Drosophila melanogaster: one gene and its partner. Changing the gene in region 1 together with any one later gene gives a genetic interaction. Each region holds a gene or a part of one and is shown on either strand. Other genes may lie near its edges. The genes, in order: mRpL12 and Hph.

Region 1 (3,305 bases):
ATCCGTCCGTTTACAGACCATGATGATGTAACGGTACCATCTAGCTGGATTTGGCGCGTGTTTTTGAGTCAGCAAGAGCTGATTACTGATCTGATTTGGTGCATTTACTAGAACGCAGCACGACACGCACGACACCAATTAGCAGGACACCACTAATCGCCGACTATGACACTAATTAAGGTTTAATCCCAAAAGGAAGGTAAAAGTGGATTGGGCTGGATTGTTTTCCAGGCCGACGCTTAGAAAGTTGCACGTAATTTGCTGCGTTGCCAACTACGAGCAATCCATATAAGTTATTTGGAGTGCGATTAGGGCTTTTCAAAAAACAAAGACTTTTTTAAAAGTTTTTCCTCTAGATATTAACCTTAATATAATTATGTAAATGAACAAATATAATTATGTTTTGATCTAGTAAACTAACCACAGCATTGCAAGAAAGTTTGTATTATGTAAATACTTTTGCGATTTCTAGGCGAAAAGTATTTTACCTACTTTTGTCTAAAAACCTATCCTTCTGTTTTGCAAAAACAAAATATTGGGTTAAACAAAACGTAAAGTTTACAGCAAATGTTGCCTGGCTTTTTATTAAAACAGTAACTAGCAGCTAAACGCAAAGTGGATAAACGAAGGCACCGTGGCCGATCCTACTCGATCTCGATGATGGCGCCCGCCTTGGACAGTGCCTCCTTGAGTTTCTCGGCCTCCTCCTTGGGGATGTCCTCCTTAACGATGGTCGGTGCGCTCTCGACGAACTTTTTGGCCTGCACCAGGTTCATGCCCTCGAGTAGGTTCTTCACCTCCTTGATCAGCGCCACCTTCTGCTTTTCGTCGAACTTGACCAGCTTGACCTTGAAGGAGGTCTGTACCTTCTTGGGCGCTGCCTCCTCCTCATCCTCGGCGGGAGCAGCACGTGCCGGCCCAGCGGCGAATTGTGGGGCAAATGCGGTCTCGGGCAGGTTCAGTTTCTGTTTGAGCAGGGTGCTCAGCTCGGCCACCTCGAGGAGATTGAGCGCGGCAATGTTGTTGACAATCGAGTCCAGTTTGGGATTGGGTGGCTTGGCGGCTCCTTCCGGCGCGGGAGGCACCAGTTTTTCCGCACCCGAGACTGCGGCGGCCGGAGCCGCTGCACTGTACATGCGATGCAGCTGCACTTGGCGCGAAATCTGGCGAAGGGCGAGGCGTGTGATGTGCATCTTATTGGTATCTGCAAGTCTTAAGTTAGAAAAGCGTTCAACTATCATTTAATATCCATTTACTTACGGTTTTCGGGTGACAAAATAAATTCTTTGGGCCGCAGCAGCAGGTTATGTGAGCAGTTTATCGATAAACAGCCAGGGCTGCATTCAACATATTTGGTTGAACGGCAGTGCCATGCTTAAATAAAACCATATGGTTGGAAAAGTAACGTTTAAATACCGCTAAATAAATAATTTAATTTACAATTGTTTTTTGCTTGTTTTTGCTTGTTTTGCATGGAAATTTATTTAAAAAATAAACAGGTAAGAACCTTTGAACTTGATTTTCATTTAAGAAAGTTCTTCCATTTTCTAGCATAATTTTAGATGTAAATGTATAAAATGTATTGTATAAATGTTAATTATATTTGTTTTATTTCCTATGCTTGTAATTCGATTACAGAGTTTACAAAGAGTACACCTTTACGTAGTCGATCTTCATGTGGCCCTCGTCCAGCCAGTGGTCCCTGATCTTCTTGACTTCCTTCCAAAAGGCTTTCTGCGCCTGCGGCGCCCTCTCGTTCCAGGGTTTGATCTCGTGCTGGTACTCGTTAAAACCGCCCACGCTGAGTCCGAAGGTCAAGTAGAACTCCTGATCGAAGGGTGCCAGTCCAGTGCCCTCCTCCAGTTTCTGGGCCTGCGGTAAACTCTTTCCGGCGGCAGTCGTCTCGCTGAAAGACCCTTTAGCACTTCCCTGGACACACCACTCCTTGCCGTCCACCAGCCAGCGAAGTTCCCTGGGTGTCCATTCGAGGGTGTAATTGTGGAAACTATCGCTCCAGTCCTCGGAGTTATTTCCAGTACCTGGCTTCAGGCAATTCTTGACCGATCGCAGCGGCTCATCTGCAAAGAGCACGGCGGCGCCATACAAATCCAGATTACCTCCATTCGGACGGGTATAAGCGATTCTCAGCTGTCCCGACCGATAATCATCCACTCCGTAGATCGGACGCCTGGGCTGCAGCCAGATTTGTGGAGTCACCCACTGTGCCCGCGGCATTTTGGCTCGCACCTCCACGCGACCATACTTGAAGGAGAAATCCTTGGAGGAGAACTGAGCGGTGACCATTGGCGGAAGTCCGTCATTTAGGGTTCGCCCATTTCTTACACAGTCGTGGGTATTCGCTTGTCCCGTACACTTTTCACCCAGATCCAAACTTTCACCCGAACCCTTCTTGAATTGTTTTTTCATTGTGTTCGTCGAGAGCACCACATGACCATTGGCTAAGCACAAGGTTTCCGGAGCGTCATCCACGTACACATTAAACTCGTAGTCGGGTTGACCGGAAAACCTGCGTTCCGCTTTCCACTTATTGGGATCCAGCTTTGCAGCATTGAACTCATCCACGAACACCAGCTGCCCGGCACAGCGAGTGGGTGCTCCATTGACCTCGGTTTTGGGAGTAGTACAACCCAACCTTATGTCGATATCCGGATCGGCAGGTGGAGTCCAGGGCGTTGTGGAGACTGGAACCACAGGTGGATGTGGTGAGGCATTATTACCACTGTACCCATTGACCACAAACGACCCGTCGTCTTCGCGATAACCCAGTCCGTTGTAGATAACGTATGTCCAGTAGTACAGGGTGTCGCCAGGCTTTAGAGCCGTAATCCGGTCCCGGAAGGTCCAGCGTCCGTTTTTCGCTTTGACAATGTCCCGTGCCCAGGTGCCAGCCTCCAGGCCCTCCATCTCCTCATTTAGTTTGCCATGGAAGGCGAACAGGGTGATGCCCTCCTCATCGGGAATTGAGACCTCGAATCCCTTGGGATAGAAAACATCGATCTTAGCCTTGGGTACTTCATACCCCTGAACGCCAAGGAGCAGGAACAGCAGTTGGAGGCAGCAGCTCCAGGCCACAAAGCGCAATGCATCCGCCATTGTGGGAATACCAATTAAAACTGCGATGAGCGGTCAGACAACTCGGACTTGAAAATCTGAGAATCTTATCAAGAACCGGTCGAGGCTTGTTTGTTAAAGGTGCACTGCAAAAAAGTACACACCGTAAAGTGCTATCGCAGATTCTAAAGTCTAAAGCCTATGTTGAAGCAAGTATGTGCCATCGTAGCTAA
Region 2 (5,307 bases), on another chromosome or scaffold:
AAATGATGCTCTTTTATAACGACGGGCCAAGCAGAGTATGGCGCAAACCGTTGAGTGCGCTAGAAAAACAAAATATCATTCCAACGATAAAATTTGGAAAAATGTCACTGTTGGTTTGGGGCTGTATCACCAGCCGTAGAGTGGGAAAACTAGCCTTAATTGAGGGCACAATAATTGCCGTGCAATATCTAGGAATTTTAAAAAACAAATTTGAAGGCCAGTGCAGAAAAATTTGATCTAGTTAGCAACAACAAGCCAAATTTTATATTTTAAGAGGACATGATCAGAAACATAAAGAGTGCAATGTACGCACCTGGCGCCCTTATAACTGTGGTAAAGTGATCGATACGCCCCCTCAGAGTCCTGATCTGAACCCCATTGAAAATTTGTGGACCTACTTAAAGAAGAAGGTGGCAAAAAGGAACCTAAAACACAACAACAGCTTATGACTGTAATAGTCGAAGAGTGTGAAAAGATCCCGTTTGAATATGACCTGCAAAAACTTGTCCAATCCATGAAAAAAGGGCTTCAACTTGTAGCTAAAGCCAATGGGGAACATACTACATACCAAAACTTTTAAAATTTTAATAAAATAATTTAAAAATTTAGGATTAAACATCGATTTAGTGTTTTGTGTAAAGAGTTTCTTGACAGTCTCAAAAGTGTTTAAACTTGGAATTTGTTGTTTTTTTTCTTGTATATTTAATATTTTTAATTTGTTTTTTGATTTATAAGTAAAATAAATATTGTTTAATTATATTTTATAAAAAAAATGCGTTTAATTAAGCAAAAAACCTTTAATTTTTAGCTTTAAAGTCAAAAATTCAACTTATTTCACAGTGTGTAAACAGTTTCTTGACAAACTGTATATTTCGTTTGTAGGACCATTGGTAAATATTTGTATCTAGTTAGAACGGACGTAAAAGTCGTAAGGCAACATTCTCAAAGTTATGTATAATCTATAAACACACGTTTTTAATCAAAGGCCATATTGGTCAAAAGCTGATAGCACATATTCGCAAAACAAGGAAAGTTCACTACAAATCAAGTTTTGAATTAATTACGGATTCTTTTGGTCAGTACATCACCCGAACATGGAGTACAATCGCCAGCCGTGTCCCATCAGGATTGTAGAGGATTGCGGGTGCGCCTTTATGATGGGCACCATGGGAGGATCGTTGTTTCAGTACCTCAAGGGATTCCGAAACGCTCCGTCCGGTCTTCGACGTGGCTTGCACGGCGGTATAGAATCGGTGAGGTTGCGGACACCGGCCATAGCCGGCAGCTTTGCCATTTGGGGCGCCACCTTCAGCACGGTGGACTGCGTCATGGTCTCGTACCGCCAGAGGGAGGATTCCTGGAACGCGATTGTCAGCGGAGCGGCCACTGGCGGAATTTTAGCCGCCCGGAATGGAATTCGAGCCATGGCCAACAGTGCCTTTGTGGGCTGCCTCGTTTTAGCCATGCTCGAAGGAGCTGGAGCAGCAGTGGCTACGATTTATGCATCGGATGGAGGAGTCAAAGCAGAGGAGTCCCTAATCACTGTTGACCAGCAAATGCAGAGACCCCAGTGGGAGACATCCGTTGCTGATTCGAACCTAACTGGGGCGGAGTTAGAGCGGGTGTTGGATGAATGTCGGGCATACAGGGCACACAACAAGATGCAGCAGCCTATGCGTTCGGACGCAGTGGAGGGTAAGGAACTGGGGCAACTGATGAAGCCAATGCACTCGTTGGTCGATCTGGTAAAGCTGGCCGAAATTGTCTGATAGAAAAGCTTTTAAGGTTTTAAGTCAACCTCCCATGCTTCTTCCAAATTAAGTGTTAATTCGATATTCAGCGTTAATCTTATATTATTTTTAAAAGCCCAGTAGGTACAAGGAATGATTTTCTATCTCATGGAGAATATTTTTCCATCTTCAATAAAAGATCAGCTGATATTTGATTGCATCTAATAAAATACTATGGCACTATGCAGGCTCAAAAGAGCTTCTAAGAAAAATATATCTCTTCTAGCGTGCCACCATGAGCAGTATTATAGTATTATACATTTTTAACTTATGTTTTAGCATAAAACTGTTGAAACTGAAACATCTGACCTGTCCACTGACGACCTACCTTCCTGATCCCATGAAGCTGGCATCCGCCAGACCGATTTGATAGCTGGAGCTCTTTTCGCCATTATGGTGATGATGCTGGTGCTGCTGCTGCCTTTGACCTGTTTCCGTTTCCGCAGCTGCAGCCTTCTCCTGGCTGCCCGGCTGCCCGAGGAGATTCAGCAGGTTGTCTACCTCGGCGGGCCAACTCTGCGCCTGGTGGGCAGGCGTCATCATCTGGGCGGTGGAGCAGTTGGCGCCGGCGCCGCTGCATTCCAGATTGGCAGATGCCACAGCTTGTTGCAGTTGCTGGATCTGCTGCCGCTGCTGCTGCTTATTGTTGTTGCTGCTGTTGAGCTTTTGGCGGGTCAGGAGGCGGCACTCGGTGCGGTGGTCGGGCCAATGGAGATGCTGGTGGGCGGGGGAGCAGTAGTAGACGGCCTTGCACTTGGCGCAGCGCAGTAGTTGCTGCTGAGTGCCGCAGATGGAGCAGCGCGGCGGGTCCATGGCCGATTTGGATGCGGAGTGGGAGCCGGAATGGCTTGCTGAATCCCTGACCTTTCCGCGACCCCTGCTCATTGCATTTTGCGGGAGAGGAGAGCCAAAGGCGACGACCGATTTTAACCTTGACAGCTCTCCCAGCTTTTTTTACCCCACCTCACCTACGCCAACTGAGGCAATCACACACACACACGCTCGCAGATTATGGCTATTTGTTATCAATGCGAATTACGGCACTCGGGCGTTTTAGCCAACATTTCACTTAAGACTGTTTGTGCTTATTTTAATCACGTAGGCCACCGAATTTGCCAAATAAACAAAAAAAAACGCACATACAACGCACACACACAGACGCACGGGCAGCTATATGTGCATTGTTGTTGGTTTTTCCTGCGAGTATTCTCTTTTGTAAGACGTTTTAGGGTTGCAACTTTTAACCCTATTGACTGTTTTATACCCTGCCTTGAGCTCTATTACGCCCCTTGTTTATAAAAACCGCGTAAACTGTGCAAAAAAAGGGAAAAATTCTTAACTCAGCACTAAAATTTCTTTTTGATAGCGATGGGCGTCGACCGATACTTAGCGTGCAGCGATTGACATGTACTCGTTGTACAGCACTATTACCGGCGGGCAGTAGGTATCGATAGCTGAACGAGCCAACGTTAGTGGTGATTATTTTATACTGGCACTTATATACTAACGGTAATCAAAGCTTTTTATTTCGCTATTTTTATTTACTAGCTTTAATATTTAATTGCACAAGATTCGGAAACAAAAAGCTATTGGGAAAATTAACTCAAAGCGGCCATTAACCCCATAAGAATTACTTTAATACAACTTCAGTCGATCGTTTATCAATTAAGCAAGGTCTCTAAGAATGGCAAATACCCTTATCGTCTATTCCAATACATTTATATATATATATTTTAAAGTCGATAGTCGATAGCGCGATGTGCCATCTCCATTATCAAAACTAAACAGATGCTGGGCGGAAAATCAACTGGTTCCTCGTGATAACTTAATCCCACTAATAAGCGCAATGTCGTCCAGTGAACGAGTGGCCAAAGTGGTGCTGGTGGACATCGAGGGCACCACCACTTCGATTAGCTTTGTGCACGATGTCCTGTTTCCCTACGCCAAGCAGAATGTGGAAAAGTTCCTGAGGGATTCGTGGGAAGAAGATGATATAAAGCGTATTGTCCAGGATCTACAGCAAGTGCCCCAGTATGCGGACTACAAGGCCCTGTTAAGTGGTCCACCTACGGAAGTGGATGTAGATCTGATTGCAGGCTTTGTGCGCTATTTAATTGATCAGGATCTGAAGGTCACGCCAATGAAAACGCTGCAGGGCTTGATTTGGGCGCAGGGCTACGCTAATGGAGAGCTGAAGGGCCAGTAAGTTCCCCATTCAATATTCTCCTATCATGGCCATATAAGTTTTACAATCTGAACTCTAGAAGGTTATCAAAGAAAAGGCTTACTTAACGTCTGTTCCCAAAAATAATTTGGGTGTCTTTCTGAGATCCAATTATACAGCTTGGTGATTTTTTAAATATGTATGCTAGCTATATTCTCCGCACGGGAATGTTTAACTTTTGCTGATTTCAATAGTTATCAGATAACATTCAACATAGTAACCAAAAGTACAACGCAACAACTCATTATTATTGATAATTAATTAATTATCTATAAATGTTATTATAGTGTATACGAAGACGTCCCTGCAGCTTTTGAGGCTTGGCGTGCTGCTGGCCTCCAGATTGCAGTCTACTCCAGCGGCAGTGTGGCTGCCCAAAAGCTGATATTCGGTCATAGTTTGGCCGGGAACCTGCAGCCGTACTTGAGTGCTTATTTCGACACCCATGTGGGCCACAAACAGGAACAGCAGTCCTATAAAAACATTGCCAAGCAATTGAAGGAGGACCCGAAGCAGATACTCTTTCTCACGGATATTCCAGGAGGTGAGTGGCTGATCCACACGAATCCTCATCCGTAACATTTTTAATGTGAAATTATATTTTAGAAGCGGCCGCCGCTCGCTGTGCGGGCTTGCAAGCCATAATTCTGAAGCGTCCTGGAAACGCCGCCCTAGCAGACGATCAAAAAACTGGATTCGAGTTGATTCCGGACTTTAAACCACTTCACAACCTGAAAGTTCCGGTCAATAAATCCCAGGCTTAGGTCATTCCAAAAAAGTATACATATATTGTGACTATGTGCTTGGGAATTAGGTGAATCTCTAGAGGAAAGCTCGATCTGCGCTGCACAGGTCGTCACCGCTGTCGTGGCTGGGCGTCTCGGTCGTGAGCCCCTGCGGCCGTCGTTCGGACCGCTTGCTTCGTTGAGACTGCCTCGAACAGGACTTTTCTGAGCCATAGACCTTACGCAGTTGCTGCAGCTTAGTATCCGCATCGGGAACAGGAAACTCTGACTTTTTCTTCCTACGTTGCCGGCTCCCCTCGCACGAATGACGCAGTTCCTCGGTCCGGCAGGTGTGGGTGAGCTTGCCCACTTCTGGACCCCAGAACGTGGGTCCTTCCAGAAGAAGGGGAGCGGATTTGACCCGTTGACGCATCATCTCCATATGCAGTTCGTACTGACGCTCCTGAAAAGCCTGCTCTGCCTTGCGAGTGGCCAACCGAATGGATAGCAGTGCCTTGTGGGATTCGCTAAAGAAAGAACACTGAATGTGTGCGAAACTTAATATTTG

What was found.
Region 2: of mRpL12 (region 1) and Hph, changing one suppresses a phenotype caused by changing the other (phenotypic suppression), as found in Drosophila melanogaster (one study listed by BioGRID).

What each region holds. Positions count from the first base shown.
Region 1 is NT_037436.4:8,954,835-8,958,139, reverse strand, and holds mRpL12 (mitochondrial ribosomal protein L12), read right to left. Parts: upstream 1,350-3,305; 5' UTR 1,261-1,349; intron 1,205-1,260; 5' UTR 1,194-1,204; coding exon 645-1,193; 3' UTR 556-644; downstream 1-555. Other genes in the region: GNBP3 (Gram-negative bacteria binding protein 3), read right to left, coding at 1,642-3,114.
Region 2 is NT_033777.3:5,254,933-5,260,239, reverse strand, and holds the start of Hph (HIF prolyl hydroxylase), read right to left. Parts: upstream 3,204-5,307; 5' UTR 2,676-3,203; coding exon 2,119-2,675; intron 1,905-2,118; exon of another isoform or gene 1,770-1,904; coding exon of another isoform or gene 1,095-1,769; exon of another isoform or gene 1,081-1,094; intron 1-1,080. Other genes in the region: Tim17a2, read left to right, coding at 1,095-1,769; Enoph (Enolase-phosphatase), read left to right, coding at 3,637-3,992, 4,302-4,558, 4,621-4,778; CG1113 (uncharacterized protein), read right to left, coding at 4,837-5,266.